4 linked regions of the Arabidopsis thaliana genome follow. Each later gene encodes a partner of the first gene's protein in a complex. Each region holds a gene or a part of one and is shown on either strand. Other genes may lie near its edges.

Evidence for each region.
Region 2: AKINBETA1 (region 1) and KIN11 share a complex: the UniProt entries of both Arabidopsis thaliana proteins name them as parts of the probable heterotrimeric complex.
Region 3: AKINBETA1 (region 1) and SnRK1.3 share a complex: the UniProt entries of both Arabidopsis thaliana proteins name them as parts of the probable heterotrimeric complex.
Region 4: AKINBETA1 (region 1) and KIN10 share a complex: the UniProt entries of both Arabidopsis thaliana proteins name them as parts of the probable heterotrimeric complex.

What each region holds. Positions count from the first base shown.
Region 1 is NC_003076.8:7,203,166-7,210,763, reverse strand, and holds AKINBETA1 (5'-AMP-activated protein kinase beta-2 subunit protein), read right to left. Parts: upstream 5,098-7,598; 5' UTR 5,047-5,097; coding exon 4,849-5,046; intron 3,599-4,848; exon of another isoform or gene 3,541-3,598; coding exon 3,430-3,540; intron 3,342-3,429; coding exon 3,166-3,341; intron 3,085-3,165; coding exon 2,922-3,084; intron 2,840-2,921; coding exon 2,525-2,839; 3' UTR 2,268-2,524; downstream 1-2,267. Other genes in the region: AT5G21222 (protein kinase family protein), read right to left, coding at 13-66, 263-343, 452-559, 731-802, 937-999, 1,172-1,342; LARP1a (LA RNA-binding protein), read left to right, coding at 6,885-7,136, 7,473-7,598. UniProt on the Arabidopsis thaliana protein: Regulatory subunit of the probable trimeric SNF1-related protein kinase (SnRK) complex, which may play a role in a signal transduction cascade regulating gene expression and carbohydrate metabolism in higher plants.
Region 2 is NC_003074.8:11,126,903-11,135,392, forward strand, and holds KIN11 (SNF1 kinase homolog 11), read right to left. Parts: upstream 5,204-8,490; 5' UTR 5,055-5,203; exon of another isoform or gene 4,907-5,054; intron 4,612-4,906; 5' UTR 4,609-4,611; coding exon 4,416-4,608; intron 4,287-4,415; coding exon 4,102-4,286; intron 4,008-4,101; coding exon 3,825-4,007; intron 3,730-3,824; coding exon 3,598-3,729; intron 3,501-3,597; coding exon 3,315-3,500; intron 3,240-3,314; coding exon 3,150-3,239; intron 3,065-3,149; coding exon 2,981-3,064; intron 2,898-2,980; coding exon 2,757-2,897; intron 2,621-2,756; coding exon 2,390-2,620; intron 2,105-2,389; coding exon 1,991-2,104; 3' UTR 1,718-1,990; downstream 1-1,717. UniProt on the Arabidopsis thaliana protein: Catalytic subunit of the probable trimeric SNF1-related protein kinase (SnRK) complex, a central regulator of cellular energy homeostasis, which, in response to seemingly unrelated darkness, sugar and stress conditions, activates energy-producing pathways and inhibits energy-consuming processes.
Region 3 is NC_003076.8:15,778,543-15,786,342, reverse strand, and holds SnRK1.3 (SNF1-related protein kinase 1.3), read right to left. Parts: upstream 4,437-7,800; coding exon 4,247-4,436; intron 3,797-4,246; coding exon 3,612-3,796; intron 3,512-3,611; coding exon 3,329-3,511; intron 3,235-3,328; coding exon 3,106-3,234; intron 3,029-3,105; coding exon 2,843-3,028; intron 2,757-2,842; coding exon 2,667-2,756; intron 2,578-2,666; coding exon 2,488-2,577; intron 2,391-2,487; coding exon 2,265-2,390; intron 2,120-2,264; coding exon 1,928-2,119; intron 1,758-1,927; coding exon 1,644-1,757; downstream 1-1,643. Other genes in the region: AT5G39450 (F-box family protein), read right to left, coding at 1-196, 290-298. UniProt on the Arabidopsis thaliana protein: Catalytic subunit of the probable trimeric SNF1-related protein kinase (SnRK) complex, a central regulator of cellular energy homeostasis, which, in response to seemingly unrelated darkness, sugar and stress conditions, activates energy-producing pathways and inhibits energy-consuming processes.
Region 4 is NC_003074.8:29,413-37,751, forward strand, and holds KIN10 (SNF1 kinase homolog 10), read right to left. Parts: upstream 5,076-8,339; 5' UTR 4,732-5,075; coding exon 4,666-4,731; intron 4,569-4,665; coding exon 4,376-4,568; intron 4,252-4,375; coding exon 4,067-4,251; intron 3,965-4,066; coding exon 3,782-3,964; intron 3,690-3,781; coding exon 3,558-3,689; intron 3,442-3,557; coding exon 3,256-3,441; intron 3,165-3,255; coding exon 3,075-3,164; intron 2,966-3,074; coding exon 2,882-2,965; intron 2,809-2,881; coding exon 2,671-2,808; intron 2,586-2,670; coding exon 2,349-2,585; intron 2,139-2,348; coding exon 2,025-2,138; 3' UTR 1,769-2,024; downstream 1-1,768. Other genes in the region: AT3G01085 (Protein kinase superfamily protein), read left to right, coding at 1-118, 213-313, 389-500, 587-943, 1,019-1,139, 1,400-1,410; HYP1 (hypothetical protein 1), read right to left, coding at 5,601-5,729, 5,910-6,143, 6,440-6,715, 6,802-7,078, 7,164-7,462, 7,538-7,726, 7,808-8,017, 8,103-8,166 and 1 more. UniProt on the Arabidopsis thaliana protein: Catalytic subunit of the probable trimeric SNF1-related protein kinase (SnRK) complex, a central regulator of cellular energy homeostasis, which, in response to seemingly unrelated darkness, sugar and stress conditions, activates energy-producing pathways and inhibits energy-consuming processes.

The sequences.
Region 1 (7,598 bases):
GACTAAGAATACCTCAGGAGCAGCATAATCTGGATTTCCACATGCAGTGTGACGAAGGCCATCTCCCTGCCAAAACCAAGTAATTCTGATAAGGTGAGAATCTAGAAAGATCAGTGTTACGGACCTTGTTAAATTTTTGTGAATATAATCACTGATATCATCATTACTGAACTTCAGGCACATTCATTAGAATAAGACAAGGACAACTCAGTAGGAACTCAGGCAAACAAATGATGCTAAGAAAATAAAATTCCGTAGTTACCCCGGCTTGTTGGGACAAGGCAATCAATCCAAATTCAGCGACTTTCAAATTCTCTTGCGCATCAAGAAGCAAATTTTCTGGCTGCATTGAGAAAATAAAGAAGAAAAAAATTTAGGCACTAACTAGCTGCACTTAAAAGAACCTACACTGCAAACTTGGCCTAAGAGTTACCAAAAATGTTCCTTGTACCTTTAAGTCTCTGTGGTACACTCCCCTGCTGTGGCAGTAATCAACTGCATTGATAAGCTGCTGGAAATATCTCTGTGCTTCGTCTTCATTCATGCGCCCATCATTTTTCTTCACAAGTTTAAATTTAATGGATTGGATAAAAGTCAAAATAATATATTATCTAATCTGTAAGATACAGGAACTTCTTAGCTGAGCATGGGGCATTTGGTTCATGATTCAAATACCAAAGGATGCATTAGATACAAGTTAAAGCCCTTGGGAGGTAAAGGGAAAACTCACAATCTTGTCAAAAAGCTTTCCACCACTGATGAACTCTAGGACAATATATATCTTCGCCTTGCTCGCCAAAACCTGGAATGATATCAATCATTTCATTAAATGTTAGTTTTCAACATATTTGCTTAGACTCCAGGGAGCTGTTAATTTCTAGTTAATCAAAGGAAAATAGAGACACGTAGAAAAAAAATTGGGGCATGGAATTAGACCTCATAAAGCTGCACTACATTTGGATGGTTGATCAGCTTCATAATAGAAATTTCTCTCTTTATCTGTAAAAGCAAACGGGAAAGACCCACATCATACTTCTGGACAGAAGACGGATCTATCTGTGAATCTCGCTTTTAGAAACCACGTTTTACTTCAAGAAATGTAACATGGGCATATCAATGGACAAGAAAGGAGGCATGAAAAAACTAAATGCCGATTAGGAAAGCGAATTACTTGTTCAGCCATCTTATGCTTCAGAACCTTGTCTTTATCAAGGATCATCAAAGCCACAGGGTCTCCTGTCTCTGTGTCAACAGCACTCCGCAGTTTCCCAAAATTACATTCACCGATCAATCTTCCAACCTCATATTTGCCAACCCAACGCCTGACCTTTGGCTCACTCATCACTCAGAGTTCACCTCTTGATCTTCTTCACAAGCTGTTTCATGAAAATGTAATGTCAATGTTAGAATTCTATCTCCAAAGAACCCAACAGTGCAGGCAACAGAGTGTTTCTTTTCTCAATTCACAGAAACTAATGCAAAAGGGACAAAGAAACTGTAAAATACGAGAATACACACAAATAGTACTATGGCGTCAAATGTGATAAAGACAAGGCAAAAACAGCTGAAATCCACAATGCGATGGCAAAGCTTTTCAGCAACAGCATAAATTGTTGGGTATGTTTCTCATTGGGCCCTTTAATTCCAACATAAATTTCTAGAATCATGACGTCGATAGTTCATGCTACAAATTCATCATCGTCCTCCTACACATTTGATTATGTACAGGTCATGAACAAGTGACCAAATTATCCAATTTACCGAATGATTGATTCTTCGTTCGAAGTGAAACATGGAATAGTAGTATAGTACAACGGAGCTTCAGGAATACACACCTGCGAATTGTCCCGGGAAAAGGGAGTTGAAATCGCATGCAGCCTTTCCGGCAGTAGATTTCAAAAATCTATGGCGCAGAATTGGCTTATCGAAGGAGAAGAAGTAGTTTGTCGGACAAGAAAGGAACTCTCGGCGACAATGCAGAGCGGAGGAGCTCGAGAGAGTAGTAATTGGAAACAGAGCGTCTCAATTACTCGGTCGATGCTTCTTCCGCCATACTCCATCGTGTGGCTCACTTTTTCTCACCTTATTTCTCTTTTATCTTTTTCTTATCCAAATTAAAATTTTCAATCAAATAGACGACGTGGATTTATTATGAGTACACTTTCAAACTGGTTAGCCTTTTCCAATACCAAAAAGAAAGATTATTTTCAAAAATTTGTCACTTTCGCAAACGTTTTGTCAGAAGAAGAAAAAAAACAGGATTTATGTGTTTGGTTGCTAGCAGATAAGCTTGTTATAGCCATTATTAGCGAATGTATTTTACAGTTTTTGCAGAAAATAAAACAACAATCGTTACAATGAGAGAAGCTTTGTACACAAGCACCACAAACCAGGTAAGAAAGAGGTTAATAAACTCAAATGTTGGGCACTCACTAGTCACTATGAACAAAGAACATGTTTTCACATAATTGAGAGATGAAAAAGAAAGAAAGAGAGAGAACAATGTGGCACTGAATTTTTAGGGTTACCGTGTGAGCGGTTTGTAGAGGACAACAGTTATGTACTTAGACTCGAACCTGTGGGTTAAACCCAAAGCTACTATGGATTGAGGAGTCCATCCTTGCTCTATGAACACATGGTTAAGCACCACATGTTGAGGCTTTGTGGCTATGGCTGTCTCTTCAGTAGTGCCAAGAAGTGTTAGATGAAGCTGAGGTGGCACCGCCAGTGGCTCTTTCGCGTAATCTTCTGCGGCTGGTAGGGTTTGACCGTAGCTATGATCAGGTGATGGTGGCGCCTCAAACTCCACTATGCTTTCTGGGTTTTCTGGCACAAAGTTCTGCATGCATAATGATTGCAGATACTGTTAAGCTGATTGATAGATTTAACATGAGAAAAAAAGAGGTGGGAAAGTAACTTACATGAACATCGAGAATGTTACAGACATTGCCAACTTCGTCTGCTACAAAGGGTAAATCTGGGATGTATTTGGATTCACCGTCCACAATCACCTTGTAGTGGTATATGCCAGATGGAAGGACAAAGAGAATCGAGTGGTCTTTCCCTGATTTCTGCAGCTTCTTCCTGGTGAATGTAAACATATTGTTTTTAACATATATCACGAAATCTCGAGAGAGGGTCCACGAGAAACAAAGTCAATTATACCTTGATCTCCAATTGTCCCATGATCCTTCCACCGCCACATCATTACCTCCTTGGTTCCATGTAATGATGGTAGGGATTCCTTGCTCTGGGGGATTATCAAAAACTCTCTGTGATTGGTTCCATTGGATGTTATTAGGAGGAGGGGCGTTTGCTCTCTGCAATGGAGCCACGGGAACCTGAGAATATCCACATAAACACTGAGCCGTGAGATCTTACAAACCAATGTGCAAGAAGAATTTGCGAATGTCAAAACATTATATCTACCATCCGACACGAAATGCAGCCATTAGGTACACATGTTAAGCCTAAACAATGGAAGAGGTGACGCATAGGTGAGCAAATGTTGTAAGATGTAACGTGGAATAACAATGTGGGCTGAAAAGAAAAGGAGTCGAAAATGAATATAGCAACAGTAGACTCAGAAATTTACTCGCATACAGAGTACAGACAAGACCTTATTAGCAAAAGATATTTCACTATTCCCACAAAAACCTGATAACAAGGTCAATTTTAGAAGGTTGTCCTTCACTTATCTTATGAATTATTCACATATTAAGAACAATGAGAAGAATGACGAAACATCCAAAATCTGTAATTCGTTCAAGTAAAAGCTCTGCGTGTTTAAATTCAAAAAGGGCGAAGAAAAGAACAAGCTTGCCCTCCCTCCTCTTAAAAATGAAAGCAAAAGACATTACACAAAAGACTCACAATGCGACATGCAAATCAACAGAACAGTATCAGTAACTGGTAAATGACCAGAGAGCAGCAGGAAAGTCAAAATCAGCATAAAAACCTAGAGAGACAATAATCATCCTATTTGACTGCCATACGCTTTTCCACACCAGGCATGGAGGCATAATCAGAAGACAAATAAGACCTTCTCTAAAGCAGATTCTCTAGTATGATTAACAAGATTTTAACTCACCAAAAGGAAAAGACATAGCAATAAGGTGATCTAAGCCTCTCTCTCTCTCTCCACCAAAACTAAGGAAGAGTAACTAGCTACCTTGTCATTTACCAGAGTTTTTGACTTCTCAAGAACCAAACAAAACCAAGTCAAGTCTAATTCCTTTATACAAAAGATTTCATTCACAAACGTACTTAGTCTGCAAAGTTGCCCTCTTCACAATGAAACAAAGATAAATTACACAAAGACTCACTAAGGGACATCAAGAATCATGAGCGACCAGTAAATGACTAGAGACCGGCTGGAAAATAAAGAAAAAATAGCTAGGAAACCAAAACAACATCTTAAAGAAAGGTAGAAACTTTTCCACATTATGCATTATTTCAAGATACCTGAACCAAGATAACACAAAAATAAAAGAGATTCTCTAGTACAGAATCTCTAAACCCAACTCAGAAAAAAGCTTTAAGAACAAGAATCTACATTACAAATTCTCAAGAACCAACAGGATAACACAAATCAAGTGAACAAGTAGAGTTCACTCATAAAAAAAAGGCTGGAGATTTTGTACTTGGATCCTATCTAAATGAAGAAAGTGTCTCACAATTAGTGAAACAAATGAAAAGTCAAGTGAACGAACATTCTCTTACTCAACGAAACAAATCAAAAAGATTCTCTTACTATTATCTCTTTGGGCGAATGTTTCAATCGATTCAATTCAAAACCAGAAATCAAATTCAACGATTAAACAGAGAGAGATATTCGAGAGAGGGAACCTGAGGAGCGAATAAGAAAGGAGATGGAGATCGAGCAGGACTTCCGGGAGGAGAACTGCTCATAGAGTCTGAAGAAGGACGACGGTGACGACTGCGTGCAGAAGGATCGCCGCCATTAGATCTCGCCGAGGACGAGGTAACATCTGCACCACCGCTACCGGCGGCGGCGTCTTCGTCTTTGCCGTTCGCATTTCCCATCTGAAAAAGCCCAAATCACAGAAGCGAGAGAGACAAAGAGAGGAGAGAGATAGAGGAAAAGAGAGAGAAAACCAGACGTGAAGAAAAATGGAGGGAGGACGACGAGGAGGAGATAATGAAACGCCCCTCAAGTTAGAAGTTAATTACGAATAATGCCATTGGTAGCGAAAAAGAGATTTTGCATAAAAGGGGCTCTTGAGAGAGAGATATCATTAAAATCCGTACCAAATGGATAAACGAGTGACTTGGCGTCCAAAAGTTTATAATTATCCACTTTTTTTTTGTTTATTTCTTTTAGTATATAATAAACAAATGTGAATAAAAAGTTGGTTCAATGCCTTTGAGAAGGATAATGACACAAGGGCCAGTCACCTCCTTGCCACCGATTTGTGTGCCTTAACATCTTGCTAGAGCCAGTGATCATAGTATGCGTATCGTGACGATGAAAAGGCCTTAAACTCCAATAGGTGGGGTTAGAATAGAGATGGTCAAAGAATCATCATTTTCCAAGATTTGTATTGGTTAGTCCCGTAAACTAGTTATTGGTCGAAAGATTGTTTCGAAAAGTTTGGAGGGTTTCAAAGCCAATGTAAACTTGTAAAAGGCGATGGTCACTATTCACTAAGCCATGAGTGATTGTCATGCACTTTCCTTATAGGTTGAGTCATTGTTTTTTCTTTTGCTTTCTCGCATTGTATATTGGTCACTTTCAAATTGTAAGATTTCAGCTTTTGCTTTATCATTTACTTTGAACTAAGGTTTTGATTCAACCTCATATTTTCTTCAAACGAGTGTACTATCATTGGAAAAACTTGATTTCAATCACTTCAATTTTCATCAATATATTGACCTTTTGTTTAGAAATCTTATCTAGTGGACACTAAATCTTCCACAGACACCTTCAAATGTCATTTTCAGAGACAAAAATTCATTCAAATCTTCATCAATTACTTTATTCTTCGTAGGTTCACATATTGAAGAATTAAGATAATAGCCTCACCCAAAAAAAAAATTAAGATAATAGTTTTCACCTCAGAAATCATCGTTAATATCCATCATATATATAAAAATTATTATATGTATATTAACAATTCAGATAATTTTTCACGTATTTTTAAAAGACTAAATATTATAATTAAATAACTTAAACGAATTAAACAATAAAACAATAAAGAGATTATAAGAGCGATAACTAGTTATCTTCGTTCTCTTTTACCAACTACTAATCCTTAGTTGTAACAAAAGTTTGTTAGATCACATTAAAAGTACAAAATAACTTAGAATTGCTACACAAATTCTAACACATCTATTTAAGGACATAAACTAAGGTTAATAAATAAACGCGTTATAAATAGGTCTAACGAAAATAAGTTTATAAAGTTAATTTAAATTTTTTTAAAACCCTACATAAATGATGTTTTCTCAAAACAAAAATTAAAAAGAAATAAATTGAATGTTTTTAATTACGAAGGATAAAGACCAGATTAGAGGATATTTGTAATACTAGTAATTAAACAAATCATGAATATTATTCTTATTTTTTGTCAAATTTCAAATAGGAAAAATAGGAAATTGCTATATAAAATAAACATATACATATAAAAAAAGAGGAAAGTAACTAGGGTTTTTGGGGTTATACGTTTCACTGTTTGTTTCATCCTCGCTTATTCCTCCCTTAAAGAGTGTCGCCACCAAAACACACACACACACTTGCCTCCTTCTTCAACCTCTCTTCCTCACATTGCGTCTTCTCCATCTGATCCTTCAATCCTCGTTCTGTTTTTGATCCAATTGAATCGCTTCCTTGTTTTGATTCTGTTTATCTTTCCAAGTTTCTAATGATGGCGGAGACTGAAGGATCAGTGGCCGATGATCGAGAATTGATCACCCGTGAAGGTGGTATTGGGACTAAGTCTCCGTGGAAAACAACGACTTCTCCTGTTGAGACTATTGACGCTCCTGTAATGGGAGCTCATTCGTGGCCTGCACTCGCCGACGCTGCCCAACAACCGCGTCCTAAGAATCCTCCGGCGCCTGCACCTGCTCCGCCGTCTAAAAACATTCCGACGTCTATCCCAATCCCTACTCCGGTTAGTCAAACAACCGACTTCTTTCCGTTGATTTGTCAATGTTGTTTGATTATGCTTTAATTGAGTATTAATTTTCCGATTGTAATGGTGCGTGGTACTTGGTAGAGCTGAGAGTTATCTGATACTGGATATCAGTTGTGTTCGTGATTGGTTTAAGTTGGTGATATTGAATCTTTGATCGAATTTGATGCATGATGATTATGACGTTTATTTATTTGTCGTGATTTTCTTTTACTTGGCTTGAAAGGTTTATAGTGTGATTGGAAAGTCTTTTGTTTAGCATTGAATTTGTAGCCTTAGCTTTGCTCATAAAAGCTCTTTTGTTTTGTTGTTTAGGCCGTAACTGGTCAAGCGAAATCTAAGGGTGGTGGAAAGGCTAATCCTGGACACAAGAATCCATCTGGCCGTCATTCAAAACCAGGTCCGAGGAGCAACCAGAATGGTCCTCCTCCTCCTCCTTAT
Region 2 (8,490 bases), on another chromosome or scaffold:
TTGTTTTTGCGTTTTGGTAATCGGCAAGACTCCCCCACAGCTGAGTTAGTTTGCCGTAATATGCTTCGATAGCAAGACCTCTTTGTCTGCAATTTGCCAATTCAGTTTTCAATCTTTGAACTCTCTGGCCGTTTTTCACTCCAAATCTCTTTTGAATATGAGTCCAGAGTTCATGAGAGTCATTGATGTGAGATAGGGACGAAGAGAGCTTTTCTTCAATCGTGAGTTTGATCCAAGAGACAAGAAGCGCGTTGTTAGCAATCCAGTCTTCAAAGTCGGGATCGTCGTCTGGTGGTTGAGGTATAGAACCGTCGACAAAACCGAACTTCTTTCTAGCTTTCAAAGCCAAGCATATGTTGTTGGCCCATTCGTCGTAGTTTGGACCACGCAACAAAGGCTTGGAGATCACGGTTCCGGGGTTCTCACCGGAAGTTAAATCGTATGGAGATATTGTACGGCGATTGGTGGTGGAGGTTATCAGAGCCGACGACGTAGCAGAATTCGTGGCCATGATTTTCTCCTTTGTGAGATAGTTTTAAAAAACAGAAAATAAGAAACAGAGTTGTTTTAGCGGAAGTTTAGATCATAGAATCGAACAAACCCTTGAGTAGTTTAGGTTTTGCTCTGATACCATGTCAAGAAACTCTTGTTTGTATAAACTGAATCTCTTAGGGTTTTAGGTTACATTGCTTGGTTTATATATAGGTTACAACTTGAGCATAAAGTTAACCTATTCTAAATATCAAAACCGACTAAGCCCATAGGCCCAATATATTCTCCCTCGTCATCTCAAAAATTCAAAGTTGAAGAAACTTATTTCAGTTTGCCCTCAAGCACAAGTAACTTTTAAAGAAGGAATAATCCATGTGATTGGAGAAGTCTTGCGGCCCACGAATAACAAGTGGAAGTGTTTTTCCTTAAATTGGCAGAAATTTAGGCAACCAGGAGAAGAAGGCTATACACACTTTTTCTGCGAAGGTGGCAGAAATTTATGACGGTGTTATGGACTATCATAAGGATACATGTTTTGCTTGTCCTTGGTTGTGTAAAGCTGGTTTCTTCTATGAATGTAGTAAAGAATGATGTTGTTTTCTGCTACACATGCAATGCGCCAAGATTTCTGAGCCACTAGTCCATCCAAGTCATTTGCATCCTTTATTCCTAACAACCAAACCGGGAGAGAAGCGAAGACATTTTTCAGTTTGCAAAGAGCTAGGACATTATTCCAGAAAGGAAACATTCAATTGCATTGAGTGTGACTACTTTTCTTTGTGTTTCAAATGTGCTACATTACCTCATAAGGTAATGTATAAGCATGATAAACATATGTTCACTCTTTCTTATGGGGATGAGATAAGTACAACGATGTATTGGTGTGAAGTTTGCGGTCCGAACCGACTGATGATGAAAAATCAGCAAAATAAATCCGAAGGAGCGGTTTTATGTGTGATGAGTACTGTAGTGTTACCCTACACATTCAATGTATGTTTGGGGTGGACTTATCCTTGAAGCCCGATATATTATTGTCCGACGGCGACCTATTTACTCCTTTTGCAAGAAGCATTGTCCACACAAAGTAGCTCTCCAATGTTCTGTATTAATATCGTGTTCCACATCTTGTATTGATGCTAAGGACTTAAGTTGGGTAGCCGAATTTTGTGAAATGGAATTTTGATGGACTCTGCGTGCAATGTTTTTAGGTATGACATGTATAATGTGTCTGATATAAACGTTGTATAAAATTGGCATCAGAGGAGAAATACAATAGTTAGAATGAAACAGCTAAGTTATGTACACATGATCAAACCTTAAAAACCATCAAAAAGAAGAAAGGATAGTTACTATTACAGTAGAGTTTAACTTAGAATCCAGGTATATAAAAGTAACCCGGCAAAGTAAACACTGCACCCACATATTATATTATGTTCTCTACTATTACAAACCATTGAACATGAAAGAAAAAAAATGTCTCAACAAATGGTTAAAACATTCAGATCACACGAAGCTCTGTAAGAAAGGCGGCGCATAGATCCAAGAAGAGAAACTGCGGACCGTTAACTCTCTGTATATCCAGCAAGTACTTCTCTTCCCGGGCTTTGTATAGCTGTTTCAAAATCAAAAGTGAACTCAGAAAGTGTATAATTGTTCTTCGAAAACAGTTGGTTCAAGTTCTAAAGAAGGTTTTAGTCTATGTCCTAGCTGGTTTAGTTTTGTTGAACTACTACTAGTGGGATAAAACAACATCAGGATCTTAGTCTTTGCTCCAGCACAATTCTACGAATGTAAACCCCGTTGATCGATTCATATCCCTAACAAACCGAACTAGGCAGTTGTTTATTTTCTCCAAGGAATGTTGTTGATACAAATGTATGTGTGAGTTTATAGTTACCTGAAGTTCAAATTTGATGACAGTGGGTGAAGTCATGGCACAGTCATCCTCAATGATGCTGGATTCATCTCTGAAGTGCAGCTGATTGTTGACCATAGTATTCTGACCATCAGCTAAACCAGGAACCCATCGACATTTCATGTTGTAGTGACCAATCTTCTTCCAACACACATTGAGTTCTTGAAGAGCTTTCAAAACTTCATTCATGATTTCACGAGGATGCGCATGAGACTGTTCAAAACAACAAGGTAACAGAATGATTATCGATTTGGCTATGTAGAGGCAAAGAGTACAGATATCTGATTGTGTGTTGCATTCAGAAGACTTTATGGTGAGGAACAAAAAGAATCAGTAATCAGGAACAAACCTGAAGTCCAAGAGCCCATTTTCGATCAACAGGGACTTGTGATCTTGCTCCCAACCCGTAGTGATCCACATGTGCAGGAATCCAGTGGCCTACAGGTGAAGCGCCCGCTTCAGGTGTGCGCATAGGATTGGAACCACTGTCCTAGATGAGTAACGTTGAAAAGGTGAACATGTTAGTCAAAAATGTTGGAAAGCTATCTACTGAGAGGAAAGAAAAACACATACTGTTGTCTCCTGAAACTCGGATTCTAGATAGCCACTTGGAACACGGAACCGGTTATCCAATAACAGGTAGTATGTAACAGTAGCCTGGTACAAGGAGCAAATGGCATTTCAGTGACTATTGGAAACTAGTTTCGGGGATTAAAAGCATTAGAGACAGGAAACTACATACATCGTTTTGTGTTCTGTTGCGTAGAGATTCCAAAACCTGGTTTCTATCAAATCCCATGTTAACCACTTCTTGAACTATCTCCTCATTGATCTGCAAAACATAAGAGATATTGTTACTATCACAGCAAGTGAACTCTATTAATCTCCAAATGGCACTGAAACCAACCTTTTTAGCCTGCTCTACTGTATCCGGTGGAGAGACAGCAAGATAACGAGGGAGATGAGTCTGGAACCAACGGTGTTGACGGATCTCAGGAATGGTGATTCGTTTCACCGGGTCAACTATAAGCATCCTTGGGATCAGGTCTCTAGCCTCAGATGATAAATGACTTGGAAGAGTGTAAATCCCACCCTAAAGAGAAAAAAAACACCTTGATAAGTTACTTCACATACATATGAATCCATTTAAGAAGAGTCTTTTAGCTGAATCAAAGTATAACGTACAGTACCTTAATTTTCTTGAAAAGGTTGGGAATGTTTTCATCATCAAAAGGAAGAGTACCGCATAATAGAGCGTACAATATAACTCCGCAACTCCATACATCTACTTCAGGTCCAGCATATAATTTACCTGATATAACCTACAACAAGAAGTAAGAGATAAGACACTCATAAGAGAAACGAGACATAGTCACATAGGTGAAAAACAATTCAGTAACTTTACTAAACTATATACCTCGGGAGCAGCGTAGTTGGGGCTTCCACAACTCGTCTTTAGAAAATGACCATCCCGCATAACATTACTCAACCCAAAGTCTGCAATCTTAATATTACACCTCGAATCCAATAGTAAATTCTCAGGCTTCAGGTCTCTATGGACAACCATATTACGATGGCAGTACTCTACACCAGATATTATCTATTCGGATATGAGTCAAACACAAACAACACTCAAACTCAAAGATGACATGATACGCTACAAACACACTGGTTATGGTAAAGAGAAAACAAACCTGCTGGAAAAAGTTACGAGCCTCATCTTCTTGTAATCTGCCTTTCTCAACAATATAATCAAAGAGCTCTCCAGACTTGACATACTCCATCACAACATAAATGTCACTCGTGGTCTCTATTACCTCATACTGCCGAATAATATGAGGATGCATAAACAACCGTAGAATCTTAATCTCCCTCCTCACTGTAAAGAAGAAATATACATACATTAAGATAAAAATACATACTAAAACCTAATAAGCAGAAACATTTGATTATCAAAGCTTTTGTTCTAGAAACCACTAAAGCTAAAAGTAACGGTGCTTGTATATACCTTTCTCTTCCATCTCCATGTTCTTGATCTTACGACGATTAAGGATTTTGATAGCAACCTTATGCCCTGTGACAACATGCTCTGCTATTTTCACCTTCCCAAAAGACCCAATTCCAAGAGTTTTACCAAGCTTGTAATTCGGTAAAATCGATTCCACTCCATTATTGCCAAATCTATTTGATGAATGATCCATTTCCTGTGTCCCAATTCAACATCAAACTCATAAGTAAGCTCTCTTAGCAACTTCTCTATAGAAAAACATCAGTAAACATATTAACTTGCTCAAATAAAAAAAAACATTCTTCAACTCAATTTTCATTTCATCAAATCTAATCTAAACCAACCATAAGCTTGTAAGAAAACTGACAAGAACCACCGACATAACTACTTTGTAATGGTGGTTTTGGTCTGAAACCAAACAAGAGACTCACAAGTTTGAGTTTAGAAGACAAAATTGATAAACCTTTACAAAGAAAAAAAAGTCAATTTACCTGAAAAGCTTGTTAATTTCGAAAACCGTCTTGGAGTAGATCCGAGAATCAAAAACCCAGATAAATTGTTCAAACAAAGAGCGAAGAAATATACAGAAACAAGGAGAATCAGATTGATGGGTATAAATAGGGCAGAATTGTAAATTACGATGTAATCTGAAGAAATTCTTGGGGAAGTCAGATTTCCAACTCGTAGGTGACGCAGAGCTGAGTCAGGTTTTTTTAAGTCTTCATGGTGAAAATTGGTAATGACGAATCAAGAAACCACAAAACCCAGATAAACATTTATTGCCATTTGCAAGCCCTTAAATTAGGGCCTTTTTGCCCATTTTCTGTTTTTGTTTGAAAAACTAGTTTTTTAAGGTTTAAAATTTTTATATTACTGTTTTTATGATCTATATATACATTTTTGCAGCCACTTTGTGAAATAAATCCTAGAGTTGGAGTTTATTTACAGTGGCTGCCACTCGCATTTAATAATTGTTTTTGATAATTAGAAAGAAAATCTTTAAATTAAATATTTGACAATCTTCCCAAAATCTTTCCACATTAACTACACGATTAGTTACTAAAATAAAACTTCCGAAATATTTAATATCATTTAATTACTACAAAATTATCATTTTTGATATTGTTTTTCTACATGACTATAATAATTCGATTATAATCATCAAACCGCAGAGATATTAGATAGCATTTAATTACTACAAAATTAAAAAATATTTAGACAATGATTCATAAACATATCATAAATAAAATCAGTGAATTTTTTTTACGGGACGGATTGGCGGGACGGGTTTGACAGGACGTTACTTAATAACAATCGTAAACTATAAAATAAAAATATTTTATAGATAAATATAATTTGCAAATTTTTATATATAGTAACTTTAAAAAATAAATTGTCTCCGCGGTATACCGCGGGTTAAAATCTAGTTTTCTATATATAAAAGCGTGCTAATGATAAAGCGGATAAATTAAGAAGTTTCAGACGCATTTTATTATATAAAGTAGAGTTTTTAAAGTTAATAACTCAACTGATCGTGACACGTAACAAGTCAATCGTTCATATGTTGATATTGTGTCGGATTTTTTTTTACTTTTTTCCTAAAAGAAATAGGCAATTTAACAAAAACAAATATTTACATATACTAATTTATATGTCTATATCTAAAAAAAATAAGTTATAGTTTACTTAACTAAGAAGGGAAACTAACAATAAGATGGAGTGTATAGAATTAAATTGTATTTGTATTGCAAAATCGAATTGTATTTGAAATGTATACAATCAAATTTAATTGTATTTGTATTATAATAAAATAGATATTTAAATTGTATTGCATAATCGAGATTTTTTAAATATTTTTTCTAAAAGAAATAGGAAATTTAACCAATAAAAATACATACACCAATTTATATTTCTATATCTAAAAAATTTAACTTAAAATTTTCTTAACTAAGAAGGAAAACTAACACAATAAGATGGAGTGTATAGAATAAAATTATATTTGTATTGCAAAATCAAATTGTATATGAATTGTATGGAATCGAATTAAATTGTATTTTTATATAATAAAATAGATATTTAAATTGTATTGCAAAATCGAGATTTTTTAAATATTTTTTCTAAAAGAAATAGGAAATTTAACAAAAACAAATACATATACCAATTTATATTTCTATATCGAAAAATTTAACTTAAAATTTTCTTAACTAAGAAGGAAAACTAACACAATAAGATGGAGTGTATAGAATAAAATTGTATTTGTATTGCAAAATCAAATTGTATATGAATTGTATGGAATCGAATTAAATTGTATTTTTATATAATAAAATAGATATTTAAATTGTATTGCAAAATTGAATATGTAAGATTGAAATTTGGTTTAAGGAAATACTAAATTAAATACTGAAAAGTATATGAATTATTATTTAAAATTTAAATATCATCAATAAGATGGATGTAGTCTATAGAATTAAAACAGTTTATTAAGATAAAATAGATAGTTCAAATGTAGAATAATTGCTGAGAATGCCCTTTTCACACTACCTTTTTCAGTTATACCCTTTCATATTTGACATTTTCATTTCTACTTTCAGTAAATTTTTAATGACTATTTTACCCTTATTTGGAAATTGTTTTTTGCCTAAAATATTCCAAATAAATTTCCTGCCAATAAAATACCATAGTTTTTGTTTTTGAGCATTTTTTTTAATACACCTTTTACACAGAATTCATTGTATATACTCGTATATAGCTTTCATTGTATTTAACAACTGTATAACCATAATACAGTACTGCTTCCAACTGTACAGTATAGATACACCGTATAAGCCGTATTTTAGAACACTAGTGTTTTATAAATGTATGTGGAAAGTTGAGCCTAATAGTTAGGCATGTCAACTAGAGATAATGCTCGTATGCTGGCCTGGCCTTACTCTAAAAACAGCGAATTCGGGTTAAATATATATATGTCTTGAAAAATTTGCTCTTTTAGACTAAATGTTTTTGGAGCTTAGTCCGGCTAGGATCGGATCGGACAAAAAGTCCTACATAAATATTTTGATATTTGTTTTGTTAAATATTTTTGTTAATATGAAAATTGTTTTACAAAAAAATTTGAATTGAAAAACCTAAATCTAGTTTTCTAATTGTGCCTTACATCTTTGAAGTATTCTGATTTTATATTTTTATTTAGTATAAGTTTAAACAATTTATTGGATTATTTCTTTGTTTTTAAACTTTTTCTTTCCTTTTTTTTTGGTTCAACAAAACTTTTATTTTAAATTAACTTAGTTTTAGTGGTTATTTAAATTTTGATTGACTCATGTCATACATATGTTCTTTCTTTTTCAGAGATATTATAAATTATAAGTTTGTTTATTCGAAATAAAAAGCCCGGAAAAGTCATGTAGCCCTATTATGGTCAAATTGGGCTTTAAAATATAGGATTAGAAGTTTTATGGACCGGGTCGGTCTCGCTCTAATATATGTAGGTTTGTATGTCTTAATTGCATATTTCTATATACTTTATCTTGTATAGATTTGTATCTCTTAATTGCATATTTTGATTGAAATTTCATTTGAATAATTGAGTAGAAAAATCATAAATTAATTTGAAAAATATATATATAAGTAAACTAATGCAAATCTGTAAATATTCTAATAAATGTTAGGTGTATAATTAAATGGATTGAGAAGCTATGTGAGAACGACATGTTAGCATGACATTTTCTTTAATTACACATGAAAATAAGGTTATTTCTAAAAAGTATTTCTCAATTAATATATAGGGGATTTAGAATGTTGTTCAAAGTTCTTACCAGCTATATAATAAGCTCGACTTTGGTTTTTCTGTTCGAAATCTCAAAGCACCAATTTATAGTCTAACTAATTAGCTCTTAAAATCATTCGATCAATTATTTAAACTTTATGTGATTTGTGTTATTATATTTTGAACTCGATAAAGCAAGCTACTTATGAAGATAGCTAGTGAAGAGGTAAATAAATTTTCAGATTCTGGGGTAGAGTTAGAGGTTTTTCTATTCAATGACATCCTTTTTCTACAAGTTTTGTTAAATAG
Region 3 (7,800 bases), 8.6 Mb from region 1:
GAACCTTTACTACTTCACACTGCACAAGCCAGATCCTTTCTGAATCCACAACGTCACATAGACTTTTGCAGCATAAGCTCAGATTGCAAATGTCTCTTGGAGATACAAAACGTGCTATAACAGCAATAACATCTTCTGGAAGAGACAGAAGCAAGCAAGTACCAAATGATTCTGACCCTAAATCGCCGTTCCTCATCTAACACAAATCAAATCGGTAACAAAATCACTAAAGATAAACACATAAATTTGATGATACTCAGAAATCAAACTTGGCTTTACAAAGTTTTACCTGATTCATACTTTGAAGATCAAAAAACGCAGCTTTGGGATTCGTCAAAAATATCAGTTTTGGTTTGAATCAGATCGCTTTTTACGTAAACAAGATTCAAACTTTTCAATTACCCATCAAAGAAGAACTCGATCCGAATCAGATTGTATAAGAAAAATGAGGAAATCGCTAACTAAGAAGACGATGCGAGAGAGAGACATTGGTCTTTCGTTGCAAGTTTAAAGTTGACTACACTGTTGAAGTCTTCCTAGTGCTTCTTTTCACTATTAGTAAGAACTTTAGGGACTAGTTTGAAATAATAGAATAATTTGCAAATGTCCTTTTCTCCAAAACACACTACACCACACCACAACGAGGCTGGAGATTTGTAGGATGGTTCTGAAATATTTGGGCCTTTAAATGGATACATATTGGCCCATTTAAGAAAAATATTAGCCCATAAGAAATGGTTTTGATTCCTTCAAAAGTTCATTAATTTTGAAAGCAAAGAATTGACATCGGTTTATATCGGTTGTGTAGAACAAGAGTTTTTTGATTTTTGTGTCTCGTAAAAACAGTCTCTAAACTACTTAAACCAAGTCAAATATTAGACGTAGAAATAAAGGTATTTTGTTAAACACGTTATTACGATGGTTTTCAAAGTGATGCTGATTGGTTTATATAGATGGGTTTCAATGACAAAAATCTAATGTTACAGTTTAGTTTTCTTTGTAATAAAAAATACTAGAAGAATAACGTACGCTACAATATAATACTGCTGACGTTACTTTTGACGATACTCGAGTGTTTTTGAGTCAGACACACTAAACGAAATTGGATAGACAATATGAGAATTCTAAGAGATGAGGAGAAATAAATTGTGTGTCTGACTGAGGAGTTTCTCGTGAAGCTCCATGAGAGTTGGTTGTGTATCTTTGGTCTTTAGTTTGATCAATCACCGATTTGTAATCTCTTAGAAGGTAAATATATATTCAACTTGATCTGTGATCAATCACTTTGCTAAACAGAGTTAATTGATCAAATGTGGTTTCATTAAATTATATTTTAGAAATATAAAAAAATCTATGAAAATGCATGTACTGTGTGTTTTTCAAACAAAATTGGCATCATAAATCGAGAAAGTGTAAAAAGTACATGCATTTTCCAAAACTTAATGCAAAAAAAAATACAATCTATCTTCTTTTTTTTTTTGTTTATTGTCAAGGATTACTTAATCCATAAATACAGAAACATAGAAAACATAATTGAATTTAAAACATTGAAGCAATAATCATCGAAAAAACATTGATGAAATGAGCTTTAGAGGACCTAGCTAACCGCAATAATCATCTAAAACACCAGTGATGGTTGAGCTTTAGAGGACACCTAGCTCTCTGAGAAACGCAACACATAGATCAAAGAAGATAAACTGAGGTCCATCAATTCTTAGGATGTCCAGCAAATATTTGCCTTCGCGTACTTTGTATAGCTATAACAACAACCAAAATGATACAAATTAGGTTTGCATTTAAGAAATTGCTCTAAATAGATTTTAACAATGTAAATTGTTGATAATTTTATATTCGCATCAAAACAAAAAAAATTGTTATTTATGGACTATTAAATTATAGTATAATATCTTAAATTGGATAAATATACCTGAATTTCAAATTTGATGACGGTCGGTAAGATGATGGCACATTCATCCTCAATTGTATGATTCTTATAGTAAGCAAAGCTTCGGACCCATCTACATTTTATATTGTAGAGTCCGATTTTTTTCCAGCATATTTTTAGATTTTGAAGAGCTTTAAAAATTTCAGTCATGATATCATAAGGACTCCCTTGAGACTGTCAAAATTCCAAACAATTATTTTGATATATATATTGATAAACTGTTTTGAATAGAAAGAAAATTAAGAAAACATGAGACGAAATTGAATGCTAAAGTAACATGAACAACAATGGATTAAACATTAACCATGCATGGACTAACCTGAAGTCCAAGGGTCCATGTTTTGTCATCTTTGACATTGGATTTTAGTCCATACAATGCCGAAAATGAATGGCCAACATGTGAAGTAATATTTTGAACTGGTAACGTCGAATTAAATATACCATCCTATATTTGTAGGATTAAAACGAAAATATAATTATATAGAGAAGTAATGTTTATTTATTTTTCTTAAATTCAGGTTGTAGAGAAAGAGAGTAAGTACCGAAATCTCTTTAAACTTGGATTGGAAAGGGTCATTGGGAACAGAATTTTGGTTTCGGTTGTCTAGGATTAGATGGTATGCAACTGTAGCCTAAAGTAACGAAATTTAACTTGAGTATCATTTATAAAACTATTTTGAGTATAATAGGATTATTATATGAAATATGAAAACACTCATACCTCGTTTTGGATTCTATTGGCAAGAGAATCAACAACATGGTTTCTATCAAACCCTATGTTAACCACGTTTTGAATTATCTCCTCCTCAATCTAGAAAGAGTAAAATTGATACAAAATTAACTGAATTCATAAAAATGATGTTATTTTGGTACAATTTAATGAAAACAAATTCTAACCTTTTTAGCTTGGTCTATGGTATCTAATGGAGGAATAGAAAGATAAAGAGGAAGATGATTATTGAACCAAGGATGTTGACGAATCTCAGTAATGCTAATTCTCATAGTAGGATCAACCATAAGCATTCTCGGTATCAAATCTCTAGCAAAATGTGATAAATGATTTGGAAGAGTATACATTCCTCTCTAAAGAAATAGAGAAAAAATTCATAACCATGTGTAATATATATGATTTTTATAAAAAGATCGTTGTTTATTAATACCTTTATTTTCTCGAATACATTAGGAATATTTTCGTCATCGAAAGGAAGAGTACCACACAACAGAGCATATAATATCACCCCACAACTCCATATATCTACATCTGGTCCATATGGTTTTCCTGAAATAACCTATATAAATAAGTTTCAGGTGTGAGTAATTGATACTTCAAATATATATCCAAATTCATGAAATAAAAATGAAGAATATGTTAATCTCTTATACCTCTGGAGCAGCATAATTAGGGCTTCCACAACTAGTCTTTAAAAAATGACCATCATGCATGACATTACTCAATCCAAAGTCAACAATCTTTATGTTGCATTGCGAATCCAAAAGCACATTCTCGGGCTTAAGATCTCTATGAACGATCATATTGCGATGACAATACTCTACACCAGATATGATCTGAGAATATATGGTTTAAATAAAAGTGTTGCCAATCGAAAAGGATATAAGGTTTTATGAAATACAAAATGTTTGGATAAATACTATATATATACCAAACCTGCTGAAAAAGATGACGAGCCTCGTCTTCCTGTAATTTACCTTTCTCTACAATATAGTCAAATAGTTCTCCAGACTTAACATATTCCATCACAACATAAATGTCATTTGGCGTCTCTATAACTTCATATTGACGGATGATATGAGGATGCATCAAAAATCTGAGAATTTTGATCTCCCTTTGTACTACAAGAGACTTAAACAATTTCATTTATTAAGATTACTAATAAATAACAACGATTATATAAGACATAAAGCGTAATATTTTTTTGCCACATAAAGTAGTCCAAAAAAAAAAACAAATCATAACAGTGACCTATATTAATGAACAGTCTTTCGGCTTCGAGACCTAAGATTCGGATAAAGTATTTTCGTAGAAAAAAACAGATTTTAAAATAAAAATATTTTTCTGATTTCTCAGTATTAAAATACAATCCATACCAAATAAACTTGTAATTATATTATCAAAACCAAAAATTATTGATCATGGTGGTTGCCGAAATCTCGTAGACCTATTAGATCTCGTGAAGAAAAATAAAGATACATCTATATATACATTTAGAGAGGTGTTATACCTCCTCTAATCTTTTGTACAAATGAAAAAAGAGTAACAAAATTGAAGTAAATAATACATACCTTTGATCTCAATACCCATGTTCTTAATCTTAGAGCGATTAAGAATTTTGATAGCAACTTTGTGACCAGTAGCTACATGCAGTGCTAATTTCACTTTCGCAAAGGATCCATGTCCAAGAGTCTTACCAATCCTATAATTTGGTAGAATCGATACTAATTTATTGGTAGTTTTTTCCGATGATCCATCCATTTTAATTACTATAGATAATAAAACCTGAAATATAAAAAAGAAATATATAATTAAACCTCTATAACAAAAATATATATCAAGGTAAAATATCAATAAAATGGACGGATTATGAGAAAAAAACTACCTATAAAATGAACAATAAAAAATAATTGATGGTGAATCTAACTAGAAAATCCACCAAAAGGTGATACGCCCCAAATCAAAATCATATTTTAGCAAAATTCATTTCGTTCACTATATGAATAGGTCCCCTAGTTGAAGGAAGAAATTTGTGGTTTGACTGATTGTCTAAACCGATAAAAATCAGTAAATTTTCATAAAATTCATAGATTTTGTTTCTAACAAAAACCTTCAAATTGAACAGAATTTTTTTTGGAAAAATGATTTAGACGTAGAAGACTCTTAACATAATCTTATAGAGTATGGTTGATGCAAGAAAAAAATGGAACCCATGATACAAATTATATGAGCATGCACACGAAAAATTGCACCACTAGAAAATTGAGGAAAAGTACAAGAAAAGAGTCTATGGGCACATATATTATCATCTTTCCTTTGTTTTTACTCTCCTTTGCTGAGGTAAATCTGAGTCACACTGTTGACTAATGGTATCACACTTTTTTCATGAATCATATTAAACAATAAATTAATTTACACACAACCATGTTAAGAAGTAGATCAGTTTCTGTTTTAACTTAATAGTAATTACCTAATTATGACAAAAATATAAAATATATTAGTAAAATGGTTAGATTTTAATATTTTATACAGTTTTTAGAATCTAATTATTCAACATTTTGAAGACAGAAATATCTTTCCTGATATACAAGTTGCCATTAATGTGAGTGGGTACTTTGACTAACCATACAATGAATATTTCTTTCTTATTTTAATTTAGAATATACATATATAAAGAAAATTTCCAACGGAGAATGTTTTGTAAGAAATTAGAAAAAATCAATGAGTTTTTATTGGTGAGATATTTAAATAGTAATAATAATCTTTAATTTGAAGTAGATTTACTAGTTAATACTTTTAAATATTGTGATTTAGATTTTTGTGATGAGAGATAAATTTTTAATACGTACTGAAAAAAGTGTAACACCCTTTTTACATTTCCATAAAAATTAGATTATACATTTAAAAAGATTTTTTTGTATTATAAATATTTTTTTATAAGTTATTATATAACTAAAACTAAAATTACTATTCAAAACCGCGATGAAATGTTCAAAATAGTGTATTTTTGTGGGAAACGAGAAAAGCCTAAGACTATATCTTCTTTGCATGCCCTTTCACATACACTAAAATATGGCTAGATCTTGTTGAAAGAGTCATTAGAACTGCCACAGACCCATAGATTAGCTGATTTTTTTTTTTTCAATTTATGTTCAGTTCAGTTCTATTATCACTATGAACCATTTTATCGGGTTTGCCAAAAAAAATTCATGTATGTAAAAAATTCGTCAAGATTTGTCTAACTTTTTATTTTTAAAGTAAAAGATAAAAAATCAATGATAATCGTTAGGAAATAGACAACACCATGGAGATGGTAAACAAGTAAACAAATAAACATTACTTTATTTGGTATATGATTGAAACAATTTATTTGGATTATTTATTAAGTCTGTTTTTTTTTCTTTTAAACTAAATTAGTTTTTTTTACCAAAAAAAGACAAATATAACTTCAAAGTGGAGGTGTATGCTAGAAAATAAATGGACAACAGAAAAAGACTAAAACAATACATTAAATTTGAACAAATCTGTATATGTAATCAAAAAAAATATCAGTGTGCCTCGTGTCCTCCTGAATCGCTAAGAAAAGGATTATTGCCACAAGAAAAGGATTATTGCCATAAAATTTTCAACAGAAGAGACCTGAATAATGTGTTGCAGTTATCAACAATCAGGTTCTCAACTAACACTTATCAATTAAAGTCTAAACAAAACCAAACATTCTATGTATATACATATAAATTTACACACACAAAGAGATATATGTATTCAATTAAAGATTTAGGAGGGTTTGGTGGAATTTAGAAAAACAATTGATTTGGAGAGATTTCGGTGAATTTTTAGGATATACTAGATTTTGACCCGCGGTATACCGCGGGGCTAGGTTTTTAATAAAATATGTTATATAGAATGTATATGTAGATATTTGTTTTATTAATATTGTTTACTTTGTTTAGTGTTTAAGATAATGTATATATAAAATTTAATTGTTTATATCTACGATTTCACCCGTAGTATATCGTTTCGTATTACTATCGATCCAAACCTGTCATACCATTTAATCATGCACAGTGAAATTAAACATATCTAATGGATTTCACTTGTGATATACCGTCTCGTAATACCATCGACCAAACCCGTCCTACCACTAACCTTGTTCAGTAAAACTAGACATTATTTTGTTATTTTTGTTTTAATAATACTTTAATTTAAAAAATATTTAATTCAAATCAATTTAAAAGTTTTCTTTCAAATGGTTATTTAATTGTTGTAAAGTTTATATATTATAATATTATAAACATGTCCTACCATCTAGTCCTACTATCTAATCATGTTCGGTGAAATTATTTTTTTATTTTTTTATTTTTTTTAATAATATTTTTATTAAAAGATTTATAATTTAAATCAATTTAAAGTTTTCTTTCAAATGATTATTTAATTTTTAAATATTTTAACCATTTTGGCAAAAATAATTAGGCCGTGGAATAAAAGCATATTCCTTTGAATAAGATTTGCTTTGATTTGGTAGTTAACTTTTTGCATTGAATAAGCTAGTGACAGCCATTGTAAATAAGTTCCAACTCCAGAATTCATTTAACAAAATGGCTGCAAAAATGTATATGTAGATGGTGGAGTTGTTGGCGCAGCCTAACCGTAACAAGTCCTAAGTTCGTTGATTCACATAGTGACCGAACAAAGAACAAAATTTGTAGCTCGTTGATTTACAGAATAGCTGAGAAACAAAAGAGATAGATGCTTTAAAAGCTCTGAATAATTCAATAAAAAAGCTGCCGTCTATTCACGTAGGAGAGAGGTTTAAATAGTTGATTACAAAAGATCAAACCCTAAAGCATAATGGAAAAGAAAATCAAAAACCTAAAGCCCACGTAATAACTAAACCGAGAAAATAAAGAAAGCCCATAAAAACAGAGTATGAAAGCTTGAATAAAAACAGATAATGAGAAAGATAGAAGATGCGCTGCATCAGTTGTAATATTTTTTTTACCTTTTGTTGTGAAAATTGTTTGTGATTTAATGAGATTTGAAGGAAGAACTTCGGATGATATAAAAAGATTTTAGAATAAAAAATGAACTCAAGAAAAGAAGAACAGCGAAACGATGAACAAAG
Region 4 (8,339 bases), on another chromosome or scaffold:
AGGTTGTTTGAGAGAAAGATTTGATGAGTTTCCGAAAACCGCGATTAATCTATTGGAGAATCTATTGTCTATTGATCCTGAGAAACGAGGAACTGCTTCTTCTGCTCTTATGTCAGAGGTGAAAAAACTTCCTAAACGAAACCCTAGCATGTACTCTAATCAAATAAGCTGAAACTCTTTTGTTTTCTCTGTGGTTTGTTGTTGTTCTTCAGTACTTTAACACACAGCCTTACGCTTGCGATCCATCGACATTACCTAAGTATCCTCCTAATAAAGAAATGGATGCTAAGTACCGCGAAGAACTTCAACGAAGGTATCAATGATTGCTAGCATGCGCATTGTATAAATATCATTGGTTGTATTTAATTAATTAAACTTTGTTATGCAGGAGAAGAGTTAGTATCAAGAAAAGAGATAACTTGGCAACAAAGAAATTGGGTAAATCTCGTAGGGCAACAGTCAAAGAGCCTACAAATCTCAACAGATTACCAACCCACCAGGTATTATGGTGTTTCATGTACCGGAATAAACCGATGAGTCTATTTCCCGGTTCGATATTTGTAATTTTTGTTCATTATTTCAGCAGGAAACAAAGAAGGAAGCCGAAACAGAAATTGTTGTCCAGACGCCGTCAGAGACGTCTCAGGCGACGACACGAAGCGAGTTTCCGTATAACAGTTTGTCTCAAACCACGGCACCAGCGAGCGGGTTCGCGTGGGCAGGGACAAAGAAGAGGAAAGAAAATGACGTAGCTTCAACGCTGACTTATATCCAGCCAGGATCTGCGAGCCACGTGAGTGGTATGAGCATGGCTTTTGCTAAGAACACTTTCGGGTTAACGATAAACGAAGACAAACCGTTTCTTAGGCCGCACGTTTCTCTGGACCCCTCTGATGTGTTGTTGTTCTCTGGCGTGAATCACAAGAAAACAGAAGAAGATATGGTAAGTCAAATTGAACCCGGTACCATCTAAACCGGCAGTTGGAATTCAATTTTAATTTTTGATAAAATCATGCAGGATTTGACGAATCTTGGGGCGAATCCGAAGATTTTTCAAACAAATGGGATGAATGAAATATTACGGAGGACTGAAAGTGATGTTAGAGTTGGTGTTCGAAGACCACCACGAATAGAGAGAGGTTAAAATTTGGGGAAAAAGCGAATTAAATTACCAGAATTTTTAGCCAAAGATATATATACATTTTTTACCTACCATCATGATTTGTAGTCCATATTTGTTTAATTTTTCATTTAAAAAAAAAAGCCCAAGTCAGTGTGAAATTATTCAATTTCAGGTTTACCAAAAGATAATTGTGTCTTTTTTTATTATTATTACAAATTTCCTTGTATTTTTGTGAGAGTTTATCTCACACTTGATGTGTTTTTTTTTTTTTTGCAGGAGAAGATTAACTGGTAGGTAAAACCACACGTTGGAAACTTTTGAAATTCTTTTTGGGCTTGTTTTTGAGTTTGTATAGTTTTTGGATCTTAGTTCGAAATAAACACATCAAGCTCATCCTAAATGTTCGTTTTTCAATGTCTTAATATTAGTAGGATGACAAAAACAAAAAACAACTATTTTTGAATTTGCTAATTTGTTTACACAAAAAATATAGTGTAATATTGACCCATCAAATAATACACGAAACAAAAACAACTACTTCTGAATTTGCTAATTTGTTTTCAATGAAACTAATTTAAACATCTTTCCTTCAATTTTTGTCAAAATGTCTTTCCCTTAACTTATTGATTTTAATCATAAGAAATATGGAGTAAACAAAAACAAAAATCAATCTTGGTGGCATGATGCACTACAAGTTATGTACAAAGTGTCTTTTTTTTACTCTTGCTCAGTCTTACATTTAAGTTAAAAGAGGTATTTGAGTAGAGCACGCATATAGAAATAGAAAGAAAGAGAAGAAGAAAAAAAGGGTTACGTTTTCTAAATAATTTCTTAGACGAATAAGAAAAAAAAAAAAAAAGGAATAAGTGGGGATTATTCTTGAAGAGGTCCGGTTTAGTATTCAGAGGACTCGGAGCTGAGCAAGAAAAGCAGCACACAGATCCAAGAACAAGAACTGAGGACCTTGTACTCTCTGCAAATCCAGTAGATACTTGTCGTCCCGAGTTTTATACAACTGTTTCACCATCAACAATAACAAACGTCATCAAGCCCAGAAAATATTGATTGATAGTTAGATTCATGAAGATTCACTCTAGTTCTAATTCAGTTACAAAAATGGCCATGGACACTAATACACAAAGCTTTCTTTCACTCGAAATCACACATCAGAAACAATGTCGTACGGGAAACCGATATGTATCATGAAGTGGAGAAGAGGATTTACCTGAATTTCAAACTTGACAACATTGGGCGACTTAACAGCTGCTTCGTTCTCTATTATGCTGGACTCGTCTCCAAAGTAGTTGTTATCGTGCATCGAGTTACTGAGCATACCATCTGCGCTGCTGTTAGGAACCCATCTGCACTTCATGTTGTAGTGCCCTATCTTCTTCCAACATACATTCAAATCTTGCAGGGCTTTCAGGACTTCCGTCATTATTTCACGGGGATGAGCCCGAGACTGTGCGATCAAATTGTTACAATATTAATCACATATATATCAAAAGCTGAAGTCTTTATACCATAAATACAGAAAATATCAAAACCTGAAGTCCAAGAGCCCATTTTCTCTCAACAGGGTATTGAGATCTCAAGCCAACTCCTTGATATTCCATCAGTCCTGGAAGCCGATGGCTAACAGGTGAAGCAACGCTTTCTGCTGGATGCATACGGGGAGTACCTTCCTGATTAAATCAAACAATGAAGCATTACGTCAAAGATCTTTTGCTAAAGTCGAAAAGGACAAAAAAGACTAACCATGGTCTCTTGAAACTCAGCCCCGAGATAACCACTAGAGGCACGGAAACGATTGTCCAGTATCAGATAGTACGTCACAGTGCCCTGGAAGACAGTCGGTAAGAATACAGTATTTAAGATCTTTTGATGGAATTTTTTTTAATCTTTGAAATGAAAGAAACAGCAAAAGAACAAGTGGGTGGGAAACACATACATCATTCTGGGTTCGGTTGCGGAGCGATTCGATGAGGTGGTTTCTGTCAAATCCCATATTGATAACTTCTTGGAGAATCTCCTCGTCAATCTACAAATGAAGACAGCGCTTTTACGCCTTTATCGAAAAATGGGAATAGAGATTTCTCTAATGAAAATAAGAGTAGATACGTTAGGCTTACCTTTTTTGCCTGTTGCACAGTATCTGGAGGAGGAACAGCTAAATACCTCGGAAGATGAGCTTGGAACCAAGGGTGTTGCCGGATCTCAGGGATGGTTACTCGTTTCATGGGGTCAACTACAAGCATCCGGGGGATCAAATCTCTAGCACCAGGAGATAAATGGCTAGGTAATGTGTATATCCCTCCCTATAGGACGAAAAGAGAAAAAAAAAAGGTTACAGTCGAAGGGTGATACGAAAAATAAAATAAAAAATTCAAGCATTAGTTCAAATAGACGAAAGAGGAGGAGTAATAGAATGTACCTTTATCTTCTTAAAAAGGTTGGGAATGTTTTCATCATCAAATGGAAGCGTCCCACAGAGAAGAGCGTAGAGTATCACACCACAGCTCCAGACATCTACTTCAGGGCCAGCATATAACTTGCCCGAAATTACCTGAAACAATTTATAGATCTCGACTATAACCTATCATTTGAAACAAGCCTAATTATAGTATTCCTCAGATACCTGAGGGCTGAAGCACTTACCTCTGGAGCGGCATAATTTGGACTTCCACAACTTGTCTTCAAAAAATGACCATCTCGCATTATGTTGCTCAGGCCAAAATCAGCAATCTTTACATTGCATTTAGAGTCCAAAAGCAAGTTTTCAGGCTTGAGGTCTCTGTGAACCACCATGTTTCGATGGCAGTATTCCACTCCTGATATTATCTACATCAAAGCCAAGTAGCTAATTCTTAACTCTCAAATATAATATAAAATCGAATGGTTGCTTGGAAAGTTACATGTTGATAAAATAAAATAAAAACATACCTGCTGAAAAAAGTTCCTCGCCTCATCCTCCTGCAATCTACCCTTCTCAACAATATAGTCAAATAGCTCACCAGAGTTCACATACTCCATGACAAGATAAATATCTGTGGGAGTCTCTATAACCTCATAGAGACGGATGATGTGAGGATGCATAAATAGTCTCAAGATTTTGATCTCTCTCCTCACTGCATCAAAGACCAAATAAGTTCAAAGGAAGGAAGACGAAAAAGAAGCTATATATTTATATATTCCAAGAGTACCGTGAAGTCACAACTAAGGTGGAATGGATACACAAAACAAAACTTGTACCTTTCTCCTCCATCTCCATGTTCTTGATTTTGCGACGATTGAGGATCTTGATAGCAACCTTATGTCCTGTCAATGCATGCTCAGCTATCTTCACCCTACCAAAGGAACCAATACCAAGAGTTCTCCCAAGCTTGTAATTTGGTAGAATCGATTCTACCCCACTTCTACTGCCTGTGCCTGATCCATCCATTCTCTACAAAAAAAGAGAGAGAGATATTAGATCTACTAGTACACAACACACAAAACAAACTGCAAAAGAGTAATAGGAACAAAAAGCAAGTAATTTTTACACTTTTGAAGATTCTGTGATCGATCGTTGAAGAAACTAAATTAAACTCATCTACTCGTTTGAACATGAGAATTTAGCGAGAATTAGGATCCCTTTTATTATCCAGAATAAACCAACCAACACTAAGAAGAGAGCTTAAAATAGCAATTTTCAGACTATCCCCAATTCGGAATATGAACCCTAATAATAATTCAATCGCAGAGGATTACTGGATCTCTCGTACCCGATTCAGAAATGACGATTTCAAGATCAATCCATTGATTTGCAAAAGGGCGAGAATTTTTTTTATTTCCGAAATAAGAAAATTGAGAGATATCGAAACTTACCAAAAATTAAAAAAGGCGGAGGAGAAAATTCGGAACCAAAAAATGCAGCAAAAAAAAGTCCCAAAATTTTCTGAGCTGAAAAAGTAAAATTGAGGAAGATCCAGAGATCAGCTTAAACCCAGAAATTATTGATAGATTCTTCCTCTCGCTTTCATTGCTCTCGCTCCTGTAGCCTATAAGGCGCAAGCAAGTATCAAAGACGAAATTATTTGATTTTTGGTTCCATAAACGGATCAATCTTTAACTAAATTACCCCCAGAGTTACGACTAATTACAATATATACCCCCATGCGGACGTGGCATCTAGTCATCATCTTTTTGCTAAATATTCTCTGTGGTAAAATTATTAACCACCGTTTTGTTTTGGCATCTTTCAAAAAGTTTGTACCGTCTTAAACCGGTTTAGAGAGATACATTGACATAAACTTTTTTTCTTTTTTACACAAGCCAAGTGTAAGCAAATGTACAAGACAAAAACCGCTTGATTCTCGGTTAAGACCCAATGTACAAGACAACCGGTTTAGTGTGTTCTTTCATGGATTGCACCAGGTATAGTAAACCAACAGCTTCAACATAAGCAAACTTCAATAGCTCAAGTAAAAAGGTGATCTCAAGGTGAGATATCTCTCGAGTCCTGTGATGCCGAAAGTGCAGGATCTCGGTAAGCAACAACGAGTTCCGAATAGAATTCAGACATGTTTTGCTCTCTCTCGTCTGCTTTATCTTTGTTTACCAGACACTGCAAAAGTAAAACATCCATCATCACCATATAAAGGTTTAGAGTAGATGCTGTAATGTAATAAAGGACTATGCATCATGTTCTGTTTGTTTTGTTTAGGTTAGGAATAAAAGATTATCTAGCCATATTTTTCTTCCATTGGATCAAAAATATGAGTAACTATTTCTCTAAAGCCTTTACCTGGGTAGGATAAGATTTGAAATTTGGTAAAAACCGTCTTTGGCAGTAAATGCTGAAAAGGACCGTGAGAACCGGAAGGGGAATTGTTAAAGAAGATGCCACTGGAAGCTCTTTAAGCCCGAATAATCCGACTGCAATAATGTGCATTAGTACCAAAGAGAAGATAGTATAGCTGTGAACTATTGGCCAAAACTTTCCACCAGTTTCATACTTGGCCGCATATACGTTTAGGAGCTGCAGCACAAAAAGGTGATGTTATTTCTATCAACAAGTTGCAATGGATTCATTAAGAAGAAAAAGAATTATGTGACGAGAAAATGGATTCTTGATGTAACGTTTATGTCATGACTGAAGCTCCAAAAAATACTTTCGGTTTAAAGATGCTATTCGAGAATTTAGAAAAGGGATCACATATAAAGAGAAGATAAAAGTGAGATTCCATATAACGAAAATATGTGTAGCTGATTCCTATATGATTTTATCAGAGATCAACAGAGAATTATACTTAGGAGTGAGATTGGTTCCGTTACCTGGTTGCGGTAGATGATATATCCAAGACAATAGTAGACCAACAAGAAAGGCAGTATCAATGGCGAAAGGAAGAAGTAAGTTATACCGAGGAGTCCAAAAAATAGAATCCTTGGGATTTCTTGGCAGAAAGGAGTTGAAGGAACCTCAAATTCTTTGTCATCTTCCTTGCCGAAAAGTTTCGTTATGAAACTCCAAAGAAGAGGAACCAAACGGAGGATCTCTGATGATAAACCAGTCCATCCAGAGGTCACAACATAAGATACAAAGAACGATGCCTACACCAAAGATTAAACAATAAACATGACTCGTGGTACGAAAAGGGAATTCCGGAAACCTCAATACTGAATTTTGTGTTCTTTACCTGTGCTGGCACAGCTGCAGCAAGCACACGAGGAATAGTCTTAGGTTCAAGGAACACATTAACACGATAAAGGGCAGATCCGGACAGTACATTTGCAAAGAAACTGTTCCATACAGTAAAGATTAGAAGCTTGATACATGCAGATTTCTCAATCTGGCTATGAGAAATGAATCCTTGCATTGAGGAAAGTAGAAGCATAATGGGTGGTACTATAAGAAGGAAAAGCTGGAAAATGAGACTCGGAAGATATCCCGTAATCACTTGACTCACGATTTTCCTGCAATCATAAGAAAAAAAAGAAGATTTTGTAATTGTTCAATTGAAACGAAGAACCATCTTTATCTAAATAGGGCTTTACTTACATATTTAATATTCCTTTTAGAAAAGGGAACCAAGTCTCCAACTGGTGAAGATTAGCAAGACCTTGAACCAATACAACGGGGACAATGTATAGGATCAAAAGAGCTACGAAAGCCACAAGCACCACTACATTGGAGATCCATCTTCTCACAAACGATGCAGTGAAAAATGGCCAATGAACATCTTCGGGCTCCGGGGCTGCCTCAGTTAGCCATTGTGTTGGATCTATTCCTTGCTGAATGTTTGTTGCTATTGCAGCACCATGTCTTGTCCTAAAGGAAACAAAAGCAGCTGGAACTTCCTAAAAGGGTTTGCCAAAAAAAAAGGAATGAATATGTTGAAGAATGCAAGTAGTCACAAAAAGACAAATTCTCACCTCTCCTGCTAATAAAGACTGTTTCAATCTCATGTCATCTTCTAACTTATCAAGCTTCTTTTGGTAATGGTCAACCACATCAACATTATTCCCAAACATCCCTAGAAACCCACCCCACCTAGACTTTTGGCGAGATATGCTTCCGGATTTTACTCGTGTAAGCTTCTTGTACAGCTTCTCAGCATCATTCTGCAAATATTAACAGATATATGAAATCCAGAAATATCAAAAGGTAAGGCCTTATAGAATCCTTAGTAGGTAGAAGCTTACCATGAGAACTTTCAACTTGTCTGTCCGATGAACAACTATATGAGAAAGATACGAGGAAGAATGATATTCCCTGAAAAAGTTTTCTACTGTCTCACTAATACTGTTCCCGGATACAAGAGGGACGCCACTGACCAGAACTGTAAATTCTTGTGGCTGAGGCTTGGATGAATAAAGATGAGCAATCCGCTTTGTTAAAATGTACTTGTGCTCCTGCAAAGATAGTCCAAACATTATTTTATGTTCCCATATAGGCGATATAAAGTAGAATGGATGGACAAAACAAAAGGCGTCTTACATAGTAAAGTAGAGAACAAACAACCGCCGTGAAGATGTATATTGCGCAAAAGTGGATCCACAGCCTGAAGCAAAACACATACAAGCATAAGAGATCGGTTACGGACAAGTAGAAATCGGGATACTGTTTAAGCATAGCTTCGAGTTCTTTACTTATTTGATCCATCGTTAACATTAGAGATACTGAAGTTATCCATAGACTTCTTTGGGAGGTCGAAAAACTCTTCAAACTCTGTTC